Linked DNA regions of Ovis aries. The protein of the gene in region 1 purifies or fractionates together with the protein of each later gene. This does not show direct contact. Links are inferred from orthologs where the notes say so. Each region holds a gene or a part of one and is shown on either strand. Other genes may lie near its edges.

Evidence for each region.
Region 2: the proteins of PAAF1 (region 1) and PSMC6 purify together in Homo sapiens (affinity purification with western blotting; 3 studies listed by BioGRID and IntAct, with this or other methods). This does not show direct contact. The link is inferred for Ovis aries from reciprocal best matches to the Homo sapiens genes PAAF1 and PSMC6.

The regions. Positions count from the first base shown.
Region 1 is NC_056068.1:52,057,359-52,065,049, reverse strand, and holds the start of PAAF1 (proteasomal ATPase-associated factor 1), read right to left. Parts: upstream 4,528-7,691; 5' UTR 4,506-4,527; coding exon of another isoform or gene 4,459-4,505; intron 4,146-4,458; exon of another isoform or gene 3,979-4,145; intron 3,534-3,978; 5' UTR 3,514-3,533; coding exon 3,422-3,513; intron 3,273-3,421; coding exon 3,162-3,272; intron 2,904-3,161; coding exon 2,863-2,903; intron 934-2,862; exon of another isoform or gene 815-933; intron 1-814. Other genes in the region: cytochrome c oxidase assembly factor 4 homolog, mitochondrial, read left to right, coding at 7,237-7,491. UniProt on the Homo sapiens protein: Inhibits proteasome 26S assembly and proteolytic activity by impairing the association of the 19S regulatory complex with the 20S core.
Region 2 is NC_056060.1:11,458,708-11,466,278, reverse strand, and holds the start of PSMC6 (26S proteasome regulatory subunit 10B), read left to right. Parts: upstream 1-2,804; 5' UTR 2,805-2,824; coding exon 2,825-2,909; intron 2,910-3,890; coding exon 3,891-3,970; intron 3,971-4,061; coding exon 4,062-4,101; intron 4,102-4,345; coding exon 4,346-4,398; intron 4,399-6,719; coding exon 6,720-6,787; intron 6,788-7,028; coding exon 7,029-7,143; intron 7,144-7,571. UniProt on the Homo sapiens protein: Component of the 26S proteasome, a multiprotein complex involved in the ATP-dependent degradation of ubiquitinated proteins.

The DNA of each region.
Region 1 (7,691 bases):
CAAATTATTCAGTAAATAACTGGTGCATGAAAATTAAATTCTAGGAGTAAGAGGGAAGTAAAAGTCATCATGCCAAAGTCATTCATTCAGAGTAGGAGAGCTTCCTAGAGAGGGTGGGACTTGAGAAGGATCTTAAAAGATACAACTAGGCAGAAAATAAGGGAAAGGAAAGGGGAAGGAAACGGCAACCCACTCCAGTATTCTTGCCTGGAAAATCTCACAGAAAGAGAAGCCTGGTGGGCTATAGTTCATGGGGTCACAAAGAGTCTGAGTGAGTCATGACTGAGTGAGCACAAGGGAAAGGAAACTCCATGTCAGGGAAGGGCATGTCGAGAATAAAGAACAGTCACACAGGAACAAGGGGAGAGGAGGCATCAATTAATATACTAGTTTAGTCACTGAAAGATATTAATGGAGTAACTCACAATCTAGGGTAGAAGTCTGGACTAGAGAAGATCTAGTGAAGAAGGTGTGGCAGGGAAGTGGCATGAAATGTTAGTTCAGAAAGATGCCACAAAAACAGGGTTGAGTGAACTCCGCGTTTTGTCCCTCTCCATGATTCCCTCCTGGCTTCAAATTATCCTAGGAAGTCTGGCCCTTTTGGTATATTATTTCTACCAATCTCCTGTCAGCACTGGCAATGACCTCTCTACATTTACAAAGCTACTGAAACGATCTGAGTCTCAGTATCTTGTCTGTGTAACAAAAGTGAGATTAATCTAACCATTCACCTTTCTACATTTCTACATATAGGCTGCTGAGTGCAGATACAGAACAGGACACAGCTGTGCAAACTGGCGCCGTTCCAACTTACCACAGTTTTCAAGCTCTGCGTAGTTTTGGAGTCCTTTTGTCCCTTTTGTTCCCAGAGCAGCCAATTCTCACTATACCTAGCCTATCAGCAAAACCTTCTTCCTGCATAACAGCCAAAAACTGGAAACAATTCAAATGTTCGTCAGCTGATGAATGGACAAAAAATGTGATATGTCCTTACAGACTATTACTTGGCCATAAAAACATACGAATGCCACAAAATGGATGAACCTTGAAAATGTTATGTTAAATGAAAGGTGCAAAAGGCCACATATTATGACTCTATTTATAAGCAATGTCCAAAACAGGCAAATCCACAGAGAAAGTCAATTAGCGGTTGCTAGGAGCTAGGAGGAGGGGAGAAAGTAGAGAGACTGCTAAACAGCATAAGGTTTCTTTTAGAGGTGATGAAAATGTGTAGAATTACTGACAGACACACAACTCTATGAATATACTAGAAACCACTGAATTGTACACTTTAAAAAGATAAACTTTACTGTATGTGAATTATATCTGAAAACAGTTATTATCTTAAAAAAAAGATCAAAATCCTAATAGTCCCTACATGTTATGGTTGACATCTAGCACATAGATAGCATGCATTTTATTTCAACAAAACTGCCATTTCAGGGGAAAACAACTCTTCTTTAAGAGCTGACTCTAACTCCAACATCACAAAGAAAATATAGGCTATAAGAAAATTTCACATTTCTATATCCAGGTCTATGCATGTATCTATTAATACATCTACACTTACCCTCACCTTTCATCTTACTCTTTTAGACTTAATTCAATCTCGCTCATCTAAGATACTGATTTTTCAGCTGGTCGTCTTTTCTACCTACAGCCTAAGTATTTGTTTCTTTTTTTAAAATATATTTATTTACTTTTAAATAAGGGCTTCCCTGGTGGCTCAGACTGTCAAGAATCTGCCTACAATGCGGGAGACCTGAGTTCAGTCCCTGGGTCAGGAAGATCCCCTGGAGGAGGGCATGGCAATCCACTCTAGTATTCTTGCCTAGAGAATCCCCATGAACAGAGGAGCCTGGCAAGCTACAGTCCATGGGGTTGCAGAGTCAGACACAACTGAGTGACTAAGCACAGCATTTTTAAATGAAACAAAGATGAATATTTTTAATGTATAACCTGTATTTTAATTGCTCTCCAATTAGTTCCCATCTTTAAAAATAAGACAAAAATCCTTGATTCTGAGACCTCCCAGCTACCACCTTTCTTTGACACAGCACCAATTTCCTCCAAAGAAAACTGTTTAAAACTCTATTTCTCCTAGAATATCTTATTATGGAGAGACGTCAAAGGTCTCTGAAAATGAAAAATAATCAGCAAAACAAAGCTTTCTTACAAATTTAAAAGCAAAAAAATTTTAATGTTACCACACTAACTGAAAACAAATGGATGAGAATAATACAGGAATGTCATTGAAAGGAAAAATTTGGAAGACTTGGGAACTAACTATATATGGTAGGGTGAGGCACCAGGTTTTTCACTCTAATGTCTAGAATAGTGATAACTTAAGAACTGAGAAAATCTAGAAAGAAAACCTGTTTGACAACAGACGCGCTCAGCATCAGATTCTGGATCTGATAAGCTCAAAACAGCAGCGAGAGTTTTAACCAGAAATGTTTAGCAGGTAACTATTCAATCTCTGCTTGAAAATGAAGAGAGGTCAGAACTAGAGCTGTAGACCAGGAATCATTATCAGGAAGATCACAACTGAAGCTACAGAACTGCCTAGAATACAATAGTATATGGCAAAGACACTGATTAAGATGCAGCAGCAATGTCTCCACAAATGTCTGTGGCTCCCAATGGGACACGAATAGGAAGCCCTTCCCCTAGAATGGAGGAGTTGCAGTGGCATCCATTCAGCACAGAATGGTCAAGAACATCTGAAGACTGTTGAAGCACATCTCAAGACTACTTGAAGCACTGTTCAAGTAGTCTAGGCCAGGAGAAAGTAGGAAGCTCTTTCCTAGGGGTTGTAAATCCTTTCTCTAAAGGGAAGGCATAGAGATTTAAGGATATTACCTGGGGGGTGACAGCTCAGCCAGGCCTCCCCTTCGTCCTTCCTATGAAGAGAAACAAAAACGTAATTAGACTCACTCAATGTCAAAATGGATGTTATTGATGAAGGGGAGAAAGAACATATAATTTCCAGTTTAGCCAGAGCACTTACACAAATCAGTCTAATACGTTATCCAGGCATAGACAAACTTTATTGAAGAAATACTTATGGATTGTGTTTAATGCATAGACCTGTTAGTTAAGTGAAGCTCAAGTACTTCATCATGAAACACTTATTAGCTGCACTATCCTGGGCAACTTACTTCTTGATTCTGAACTTGTGTTCTTGCAAAGGTAGGTGGTCCTCAATAAATGCCAGTGTTCCTCCTATTACACATCTGGTGTTGTAGTAATAAGGTTTCTTTTCAGCCCACCTAGTAAGGCATAAGTTTCTTAAACTCAGGAGACTATGTTCCATTCATCTTCACCATTGTTTCCATTTTTAAAACCTATTAGTATAATAGTTGCCATTCATGGCACTGCTGTTGGAGAAGGAAACGGCAACCCACTCCAGTATTCTTGCCTTGGAAATCCCAAGGACAGAAGAGCCTGGCCGGCTGTAGTCCACGGCAGACACGACTTAGCGGCTGAACATCTCGGTACGGCTGTACTCATTCTGGTGCCTGGCAAAATAACTTGCACAGTATATGATACACAATAAATAAATGAATGGTTTGTTGTTCATTCCAATTAAGCTGTTAGCGTCTCAAAGGCAGAAACCACCCTTAAGTTTAGAGTACACATCTGAACTCCGCCGAGCATCTATTTAGGTCAGAGTCTGGACATGGTTTAAGTGTTACACTGTTCCCTGAAAAGACCTGTGAAGTGAAGTGAAGTGAAGTGAAAGTCGCTCAGTTGTGTCCGACTCTTTGCGACCCCATGGACTACACACAACATGACTAACACACCACTGGGAGAAGGCAATGGCACCCCACTCCAGTACTCTTGCCTGGAAAATCCTATGGACAGAGGAGCCTGGAAGGCTGCAGTCCATGGGGTCGCTGAGGGTCGGAAACTACTGAGCGGCTTCACTTTCACTTTTCACTTTCATGCATTGGAGAAGGAAATGGCAACCCACTCCAGTGTTCTTGCCTGGAGAATCCCAGGGACGGCGGAACCTGGTGGACTGCCGTCTATGGGGTCGCACAGAGTCGGACACGACTGAAGTGACTTAGCAGCAGGGGTCGAGAAGGATGCCAAGACTCCTGGTAATGCAGATTGCTGGGACTTTTGGAAATAGCTGATAAGTAAGTATTTGCTAAATGACCATGACTATTTGGCCAAGAGTCTTCCTGCCTCTCAGTTTTCCTGTCTTTCTCCAACTCATTGATGCTATTCTGCCTCTGCCATCACACGACGCATACGTGTTTCCTGGGATACATAACTCTTCTGAGAAGGAAAAACAATGACCATGTGGCTTTGAGACTTCTAGGCCCAGGGTTCCCTCAACAATTGATGAGGCAACCCCTATGGACATCCTGGGTCGGGGATGGCGCTCCTTAACGTAAAGGCAACATCCGCTACCCGCCTCCTATGTCCCAGTTCTGGACCTGGATTCACCTGAGAGCCTGGGCCCAGTCGCTCTGAATCCTCAAAGGTACCGCCATCTTGGCCCGCCTCCACCAGCCCGCCCCTTCCGCTCTCTCCCGGAAGTGGATGCCCCACAGAGCCTACGTCGAGAACGAAGGGCGGGATCTACCCGAAAAGCCGCTAATGGAAATACGTGATGTATTCTCCTTCTCTCCCCGCCCCTTTGCGCGCGCGCTCCTTGCAGGAAGCTGGTTCCTGACCCGAGGTTTACTGGGTAATTCGGTAGAGTTACAGCTGCCTGCGAAGCCGACGCCGCTGTGCAGCAGCGCGCGTTCGAGTCCTCCTGTCTGCCTGTTCGGTGAGCACTGTGTGCCGCGATCTTACGCGGTGAAGCCTAGCGGGCACAGCGCGGGCTCGCGAGTGCGCTTGCGTCCTCTCCGGAAGGTGGTGGTTTTAAGTAACTTGGCCGCTTGGGTTTTTCTGCTTACCCATCCTTTCAGTGCCTTCTTAGTCCAGGCTGGCCTTCGCGAACCAACTGCCGACCTTCCATCCTGCCCTGGTCTCTGAGCGAGGGTCTTCCACTTTTTACTCATGAGAGACTGAAGCCAGGTTGAGGTGGGGAATTAAGTCCTTTCGTAGCCCATGCACTTGTCCCTTATTAGCATCTTATTCCTTGCGGTAAAGTGAGTTAAATATTACCTTAAGAAGGAAGGAAACTAAGGGATTTCCTCTGTGGTCCAGTCGTTAAGATTGCCCTTCCGCTATAGGGGACACTATATAGTTCGTTTCCTGGTAGGGGAACTAAGATCCCACATGCCAAAAAAACGGGGGAAAAAAAAAAAAAAAAGGAATGCACGCTAAGGCTTGCGCATAGTAAAACGAGGTGCCAGTATTTGAATCCGGATTTCTTGGCTTAGAATCCACGGCACTGTTCTTTCCACCATATTGTTTCAAGAGGCTTGCCCTTGCCTTTAAAGAGCTCAGTATATTTAGAAAGAAGAAACATGTATAGTAATAGGAGTTATCATTTATTGAACTCTGGACGTGCCAGGCTCCTTACGTGCATTATCTCATTTAGTTTTCAGTCCTGTGAGATAGATTTGATGTGTGTTTTTCAAGAGAGATTATAAAGTGTAATTTGCTCAAAGCATCCCAGTGAGTCAGTGACCAGGCTAATTTTCCAATCCAAGTTTGTTTTCGAAGCCCATTTTCTCCCTCCTCCCTTGCCTTCAAAGCAAATGAATTTTGTGTAGGGCCAGTACTCTTGCCTGGAAAATTCCATGGACAGAGGAGCCTTGTAGGCTACTGACTATGGGGTCACAAAGAGTCGGACACGACTGAGTGACTTAACTTCACTTAACTTATAGAGTTCTTGGGCTCTCCCAGTGGCTCAAAATGTAAAGAATCTGCCTGTAATGCAGGAGATCTGGGTTCAATCCCTGGGTCAGGAAGATCCTTTGGAGAAGGAAATGGCAACTTGCTGCAGTATTCTTGCCTGGAGAAATCCATGGACAAAGAACCTGACGGGCTACAGTCCACGGAGTATCAGAGAGTCTGGACAGGACTGAGCGATTAACACTTTCACTTTCATAGAGTTCTTAAAACCTTTTTGTGACTTCCCCATTGCCCTCTTGACAACTTAACATGTGGTCTTCCTGTGATCAGATACTTTCTCAACTCATCACTTTCATTAATTTTCCTGTTCTCATACTCTATTCTCCAGTCATGTAAAACTTTCAGTTCATCTCATGTCAAATTCTGTCTCAAATCCCCACCCTGCTCTTCCATTGACTAGAAATATTCTTTACATCTCTGGCTCTTCCCTTTTCATCTTTCAAGTCTCAGTCTAGAAATCACTTTCTGCAAGAAAAGAAGGCTTCCCTGCCTGTTTGTCCCCTTGTCTGGCTTAGGTAGTCTCCACTGTCTTCCCAATTTTAGCTGTTTATAGACACTGTACACAAGTAATCAGCCTTTTAACTTACCTAAATTATAAACTCTATGAAGGCAGGAAGTGTATCTGTCTTGGTCACTCTTGTTTTCTCAACTCTAGCATAGAGCTTGGTACATGATAGATACTCAATGATAATTTGTTAAATGAATCAGAGACCCAGGAAAGGCATTAAGGAGTCTTAGCTTATTTATAGCCTGTCATGGTTAAATTTGTACAAAGGCTGAGTCATTTATCTTCAAACCTCTCTTAAGTTCCTTCTATATGCTACCTTGTGCTGGGTGCTCTGAAGCAGGTGATCGTGGAAAGGCAGTGTGGGCAAGTGCACCTCACATTAAGTATTCTCACACTTCACAAACTTAGTTCTTGCCCTGTACCTTGTATGCTCTTTTCTCCACACAACTCTCCATTCTCCCAAATGTCAAACCCTACCCATATATGGTTACTCTCTCAAGTACTAAACTCTGTTCTTCTCTAGCCATAGAATAAGGCTAATTGAAAAAAAGAAGATTGCTTCTCCAATAGGAGAACAGAGATAGCTTCCCCAGATATGTGACATTTCACCTAATTCCAATTCTATTAGTAGAACCCATTTGAGCTTATTAGTGCTGTGCTGAGCATTCTCACATACTTTATCTCATTCTGTTCAGTTGAGACCATTTTGCAAGCCTGGTGCTGGGGGTACCAGGATGAATCAGGCCCAGTGTTTGTCCTCAAATAGCTCACAATCTCCAAGGGGAGACATAGGCATAAATAGGCTATAACAGTGCAGTGGTAAGTGTTGTTTATAACAGAGGAACATATATAATCATGTCCCTACTCTAACCTTGCTCCCATTGATATTCTAGAGACTCCAGAAGATGTCAGCTCAAGGCCATGCCTGGTCCCGACAGGTGAAGAAGGAGGATGAAGAAGAGGACCCGCTGGACCAGCTCATCTCCCGCTCCGGCTGTGCTGCTTCCCACTATGCAGTGCAGGAGTGCATGGCCCAGCACCAGGACTGGAGGCAGTGCCAGCCACAGGTGCAGGCCTTCCGGGACTGCATGAGTGAACAGCAGGCAAGGCGACGGGAGGAACTGCAGAGGCTGAAAGAGCAAAGCAGCGCCCACCACTGAGACCCCAGACCACCTATCCCCAGAGGATGGCCCTGCAGAAACTAACACCCAGACAGATCATGGGAGAAAGAAATCCTGAACAGTGGAAGTTTGTGCCAAGAACTCTAAGACTTGGGGATAGTATTTGGGCCTGGGGCTGAGAGCCAGGCAGCCATGGGTTTGGACATGAGCTATCATATTGATATCCCACACATCCTCAT
Region 2 (7,571 bases), on another chromosome or scaffold:
CGGGGGATGAGATGACAGCAAATGGAGTCGGGAATGTGACTGATTCTGTTGAAACAACTCTAAATTCTCCCCAGGAGTAATGCTGAGAAGAGGTACAGCGTTGTGGACCCGTACCACAAAATTTGAGGTCATTACCACTCTTAAAATAAATAACTTAAAATAGCACTATTGAATATTTGGGGCTTCCCTGGTGGCTCAGTGGTAAAGATTCTGCCTGCTAGTGCAGGAGATGCAAGAGACATGGGTTTGAACCCAGAGTTTGGAAAAGCCGCTGGAGGAGGAAATGGAAACCCAGTCCAGTATCCTTGCCAGAATAAGATACGACTGAGCATGCACACATGTATTAATAGCTTAGAGGCACACTGTGCTGTTTAATACTCATGACATCCCTATGAGATAGGTAAAACATTCTACTCATTTTACAGAGATTTTTGAAAGATTAATTTGTCCAAAAGCACAGAAATCTTAAAGACAGTTCTGTCAGGTTTCACGTTCCTTACTCAGTCTACTTCCGCATCTTTATCTTGTGCCCCTCATCTCCACAACCCATCCCTTCCGGTCTCATTGGCCTTCTCTCTGTTCCAAGAAATGAGCTAAGCCCCTTTCACCTTTAGGGCTTCCCTGACAGCTCAGTTGGTGAAGAATCCACCTGCAATGCCGGAGACCTGGGTTCCATCCCTGGGTTGCGAAGATCCCCTGGAGAAGGCAAAGGCTACCCACTACAGTATTCTGGGCTGGAGAATTCCATGGACAGTATAGTCCACGGGGTCGCAAAGAGTCGGACACGCCTGAGCGACTTTTACTTTCACTTTCCTTTCACCTTCAGATCTTTGCATTAGCTGTTTCCTCTGTTTGGAAGGTTTTTCATCTGTTTCTTGCATGGTTGGTTCCTTGTCTCAGATATCTGTCCTAAATTACTTCTCTTCACCTTACTCTGTAACATTATCCTGTTTTATTTACATTAGAGGGTGACAGCATTTATTGGGCTTCCCTGGTGGCTCAGACGGTGAAGCATCTGCCCACAATGAGGGAGACCCGGGTTTGATTCCTGGGTCGGGAAGATCCCCTGGAGAAGGAAATGGCAATCCACTCCAGCACTCTTGCCTGGAAAATCCCATGGACAGAGGAGCCTGATAGGCTACAGTCCATGGGGTCGCAAAGAGTTGGACACGACTGAGCGACTTCACTTTCATTTCACTTTCACAGCATTTATGGACTATGCCAAAGCCTTTGACTGGGTGGATCACAATAAACTGGAAAATTCTGAAAGAGATGGGAATATCAGACCACCTGACCTGCCTCTTGAGAAATCTGTATGCAGGTCAGGAAGCAACAGTTAGAACTTGACATGGAACAACAGACTGGTTCCAAATGGGAAAAGGAGTACATCAAGGCTGTATATTGTCACCCTGCTTATTTAACTTCTATGCAGAGTACATCATGAGAAATGCTGGACTGGAGGAAGCACAAGCTGGAATCAAGATTGCCAGGAAAAATATCAATAACCTCAGAAATGCAGATGACACCACCCTTATGGCAGGAAGTGAAGAAGAACTAAAGGGCCTCTTGATGAAAGTGAAAGAGGAGAGTGAAAAAGTTGGCTTAAAGCTCAACATTCAGAAAACGAAGATCATGGCATCTGGTCCCATCACTTCATGGCAAATAGATGGGGAAAGAGTGGAAACAATGGCTGACTTTATCTTTCTGGGCTCCAAAATCGCTGCAGATGGTGATTGCAGCCATGAAATTAAAAGACGCTTACTCCTTGGAAGGAAAGTTATGACCAACCTAGACAGCATATTAAAAAGCAGAGACATTACTTTGCCAACAAAGGTCCATCTAGTCAAGGCTATGGTTTTCCAGTGGTCATGTATGGATGTGAGAGTTGGACTGTGAAGAAAGCTGAGTGCCAAAGAATTGATGCTTCTGAACTGTGGTGTTGGAGAAGACTCCTGAGAGTCCCTTGGACTGCAAGGAGATCCAACCAGTCCATCCTAAAGGAGATCAGTCCTGGGTGTTCACTGGAAGGACTGATGTTGAAGCTGAAACTCCAATTCTTTGGCCACCTGATGCAAAGAGCTGACTCATTGGAAAAGATCCTGATGCTGGGAAAGATTGAGGGCAGGAGGAGAAAGGGACGACAGAGGATGAGATGGTTGGATGGCATCACCAACTCAATGGACATGGGTTTGGGTGGACTCTGGGAGTTGGTAATGGACAGGGAGGCCTGGTGTGCTGCGGTTCCTGGGGTTGCAAAGAGTCAGACACGACTGAGCGACTGAACTGAACTGAACAGCATTTATTACAATTTGAAATATTTTTTTTCTTTAATTTTCCCACCGGATCAAATCCTTAGTACTTCATTCACTGAGTGAAGAAATGAATCAATAGCTTACTTATTCTGTACCTGGAGATCCTAGATAGTGTTGTGTTATACCAACAGGTATACATGGATAAGCCATCAGCGCTACTTAAAGAAATATGTATATTCTCTATTTTACTCTCATATTAGTTTATTACAAAGTCTTTAGTGGTTCCAGGACAGCATGACTTAAAAACACCAAGGCTTCTCAGGGGACAGAGCCCTGCTTTACCCAGGCAGACCAGCAGGGGACGGTGTAGGTGGAGGTCTCCTTCCACGGGTTCCGGCGCCCTAGACGCAGAAGTTGGAGAAGGGCAGTGCAGAGGCGGAGCCAACCGGAAGGGGCGGGGTCACCTGAGAACCTGCCCTTCCAGGGAGGCTCTTCTCCCTCGCCCCGCCCCGTCCCCCGCCCGGGCGGCCATGGCCATTCCCGGCATCCCCTATGAGCGACGGCTTCTCATCATGGCGGACCCTAGAGATAAGGCGCTTCAGGACTACCGCAAGAAACTGCTGGAGCACAAAGAGATTGACGGCCGTCTCAAGGAGTGTGAGTGCACCTTTCTTTCCACGTAATCTCGTACCTGGACCCGCTTCTGTCTCTGCCGAAGTGGAGGCCTTTTGCCGAGTTCGGCAACCGAGTCCCTGGGATGAGAAGGCCTCAGTCCAGGGACAAGGCGCTTTGTCATTCCGCCCAGTATTTGGGAAGCCGAGCCTTTTCGGGCGTGGAAATGATCTAGTCTGGTCCAGGCGACAGACAGAACATCCCCAGTTCTGAGATGAAAGTGGGAAATGACCCGACAAAGAGTGAGGAAGAAGTTGGTCAGAGATGTTTCCCAGATTCAGGTGCAAGGAGTGCAGTGTTGGTGGAGCCCTGGGACCCGGAGCGGAGAAAAGACTTGAGTCAAAGAAGCTCAAGCGCGAGATGAGATTCTAGGGGGGTTGGCTTGTTAGTGGAGAAGAAAGCCGAACATGGGGTTTAAGGGATAAGGCGTATCGGTCAGTAATAGCCCTTTTCATCTTTACTCGTGGTTTGAATTATACTGCATTAATTATACAAGTTTCCCTTACCTCCTGAACTAAATAAAAAGAGTTTTGTATTTTTTTCTTAATGCACCGTCACCGACGTAATGAATGAAAACCTTAACCATAATTCTGCGGAGCTTTATTTAGGTTAAAAAGCCAGAGGGTAACAGTGCATGTAGATAGATGAAGTGAGGAGGGTCTAACTCTTATTATTCGGATTTGTAATCTCAGATCTGGAAATGCCAGAAGGTCAATACCTGTTAAAAATGTTACCTAAAATGTGCTCAAAGAAGTAAGTATCGCCAATCAAGAAAATAAAAATAGGTGCTTTCTCTGTAATATTTCGTTTTGAAACACATCATCTACAAACAGCATTGTTACTTTTGTGTGGTTTGATACAATGGATATAAAATATATGTAAAGTGAAACAGACAAAAGTTAAGATTTGGTGCCTTAAACTCGCGAAGATTACTTAATTCAAAATGTTCAAATTATATTATTTCAGTAAGGGAACAATTAAAAGAACTTACCAAGCAGTATGAAAAATCTGAAAATGATCTGAAGGCTCTACAAAGTGTTGGGCAGGTAGGTAATGGAGTTTGGGATGTAGAGGGTGATGGTGATTTATTTTTTTAAGCTCTTGGCAAAAAATAATGCTCTCTTTTGTCTTTATTAGATTGTGGGTGAAGTACTTAAGCAGTTAACTGAAGAAAAATGTAAGTGTATTAGATTGTTAGTAGAAAAAGAGCAGGGTTACCTCCTTTCTGTCACCAGCTTTGAATGCTTATTGCTTAAATGAGTATAATGAAGATAGATGATATTCTTGCATAGACTGAGTTTTCTTTCAACTCTTGTCTTTTGGAGAACAGAAATAAAATGCAACCTGCCATCAATGTGGATATATTTAGTTTTTACTTTCTATGTTTCAATTTGTTTTTTCATTTCTTTTTTCCCCTTTAGTCATTGTTAAAGCTACAAATGGACCGAGATATGTTGTGGGTTGTCGTCGACAGGTAACATTTTATATTTGTATAGTGCTTTATAATTGACAAAAGTGCTTTCAAGTAAGTTATTTACTTTTCCAGGTCCCAAAGGTGACTTGTTCAGATACAGCTAATTATTAGTAAAGCCTAAACTCAAACCATGGATTTGACTCCTGATGAAAGCTCAGTCGTGTCCGACTGTTTGCAACCCCATGGGCTATACTGGCTATGGAATTCTCCAGGTCAGAATACTGGAGTGGGTAGCCTTTCCTTTCTCCAGGGGATCTTCCCAACCTAGGGATTGAACCCAGGTCTTCCACATTGCAGGCAGATTCTTACCAGCTGAGCCCTCCTGGTAGTCTATTTTTCTGCTTGATTGCATTAGCTCAGTCAACTCTACACACAGAGAAATCAGAGAATCTTAGAACTGAAAAATAACTCAGGTTATTTTATTTTAATGTCTCTTTTTGAAGAAGACTTAAAAGATTAAACCTTATAAATTGCACTTTAAACATTCAGAAATATTACTTATCAACTTTACTATAGATTAAATTGATTTTGTATGAATTGGTTTAGATTAGAATAAGCAAACTGAGATAACTCCAAGTTTTATTTTGCAGTCAAAAACTGACAAACAGATTTGAATTATTTAGTAACCACTGAAGCCAATTTATGTACTGCTCTGTTCTTTAGGAAATGCCTTTAGCAGATTTTGAAAAACTCATTGGAAGAGCTTTCTCTGAGTATTTGTTATATCAGGTTCAGGTTTTAAAACATTGATCCGACATGGCTATAGAATGGAATTTTACCCAAGAACTAAGTTCAGTCTTAAAATTTTACTTACATATAAGTGGGATGATATTTTCTAAATCAAAATTTTAGATGCCTAATCCTATAAAGGATATTTATGTCCCTTTTAGGACCCTTTGGATGCCAAAAGTTGGCATTTAAAGATAGTTCATGACTGTATGAGGGCAATAGAGCATTTGAAAGCTGAAAAATATTAGAAAGGCCAGAGTATATATTGCCTATAGATATAAATGAAATAACTTCTTATTGATCTCTGTTTAAGCTCTTGTTTCAAGTACAGTAGTCCTTAATCCGTGGGGGATATGTCCCGAGACTCCCAGTGGATGCCTGAAATCTAGGCATATACCAAACCTATATGTGCTGTGTTTTTTCCTCTACATACATACTTATTATGATAAAGTTTCCATTTATAAATAAGGGAGGGGGAACTACTGTATCTAGGAAATATTTTTAGTTTAATCCATTATATTAAACCTAGTTTTTAGCTTGCTTCCACTTTAGGTTGCTCTATCCTGTCCAACTCTTCGCTACTCCGTGGACTGTTGCCCTCCAGGCTCCTCTGCCCATGAAAATTTCTAGGCGAGAACACTGGAGTGAGGTGCCATTTCCTCCTCCAGGGGATCTTCTGACCCAGGCATTGAATCATGTTTCCTGCATTGACAGGCAGATTCTTTACCACTGAGCCACCAGAGAAGCCTCCCACTTCATTTTAACTGGCACTAAATCCTAAACCAAGCACTCTTTGCAAAATTCTGTGAAAAGTGTTTAGTAATTTGTGTGATTCTGAAATTGTATTAACAAGCAGTTTTCTAAACTATTGAAAAGTAACTTTTTTTTTGAGAAACAGCCTGAGTGTGATTGAATCTCTTTGGATAGATTCTATCCAGTTCTATCCAAATAAGTTACACTGCCTAAATATGCCAATAAATTATTTAGTATGATTCAACTTAACATGAAATATGTTTGCCATAGTGTCTGACAGGTAGCAAAGGAATGAATGAAGGTTGCTGGGATTTTTTTTTAATTCTTTAGAATTAAAAAAAAAATCTCTAGAGGGAAACAGTGCATTTCTCCCCTATCTACTGTGATCATGGAGTATATTCTTCTCAAAACCATAGTTTTTAAAATAAATTTAATGGGCATACTTGTAAGGTGCTTTCCTTTCTTCACAAATGTTCACTAAGGGATTTCTATATGTATACTTTGCTACCAGTTTCCAAAGTCACTGTACTACAGTGCCTAAATCAAAATGATGAGCAAAACTATTAAATAGCCTTTGAAAGTAAAATATTGCAGTCAGTTCCTGCTTCAAAAACAGTCGTTGGCTCCTCAAATTTTGTGTATTAGGGGTTTCACGTTTCACAGTGAGATTGCACAAAAGGGCACTTTTTTAAGAGGTAGCACTGCATGTTGTTTATAACCTAAGATTAGTGTTCTCTCTGAAGGATAAAAATGATTATTTGGCTTCTAACTATGCTCTTGTTATACTGTTATACCCCCTTTCAAGTGTTTATGTAACACTTTCTGTTTTATAAAATTAGCTTGACAAAAGTAAGCTGAAGCCAGGAACAAGAGTTGCTTTGGATATGACTACACTAACTATCATGAGGTATGTGTCTTATACTATTTAGTTAACCTTTTATTGTCATGGAGGGAATATTTTATCCAAAATTGGTGTTTCCTGAGATCACTGAATATTTTGCCACTTTTCTGCTTTTACTAATTTCAGATTAACTTAAACATGATTTTATAAGATCTCCTACAGGTTCTTGTATAAGCAGTCATTTATACTCTTTGTAGACTGAGACAAAATACATCTTTTAAAAGAAAAGTACACTTTATTATTACAGATATTTGCCAAGAGAAGTGGATCCATTGGTTTACAACATGTCTCATGAGGACCCTGGGAATGTTTCTTATTCTGAGATTGGAGGGCTATCAGAACAGATTCGTGAATTAAGAGAGGTTGGTAGTGTATGCTTTGTTCTCTGAACTTATCAAGAAATGGTACTGGTTTTAAAATGCCTGAAAGCCAGCGCCTGTGGTGTCTGGGTCTCTGGAGCCTGGGCTGCAGTCTGGGGAGGCTGAGAGGCAGATGGCAGTGCTACCAGCTCCTCTCCCTGCCCCACCTCTGTCCTAGGGGCCACACTCTACCTCTGTGGTGGTAGGTGGGCTGTCTGTTAAGATGTGTCATGTACATTTGTATCAAAAATAAGTAACCATGAAAAAGAAATGCCTGAAGGAAGAGAGAGGATGTAAAATTACTTTGTCCAAATAATATTGACTGAATATTATATAAATAGTATTTTTGCTGAGAGAAAAATAGCTCTGACGCTCTAGCTATAAAAATGGCAGGTTTTTGTAATTTGGAGATAATCTGGTGTTCAGTTCAG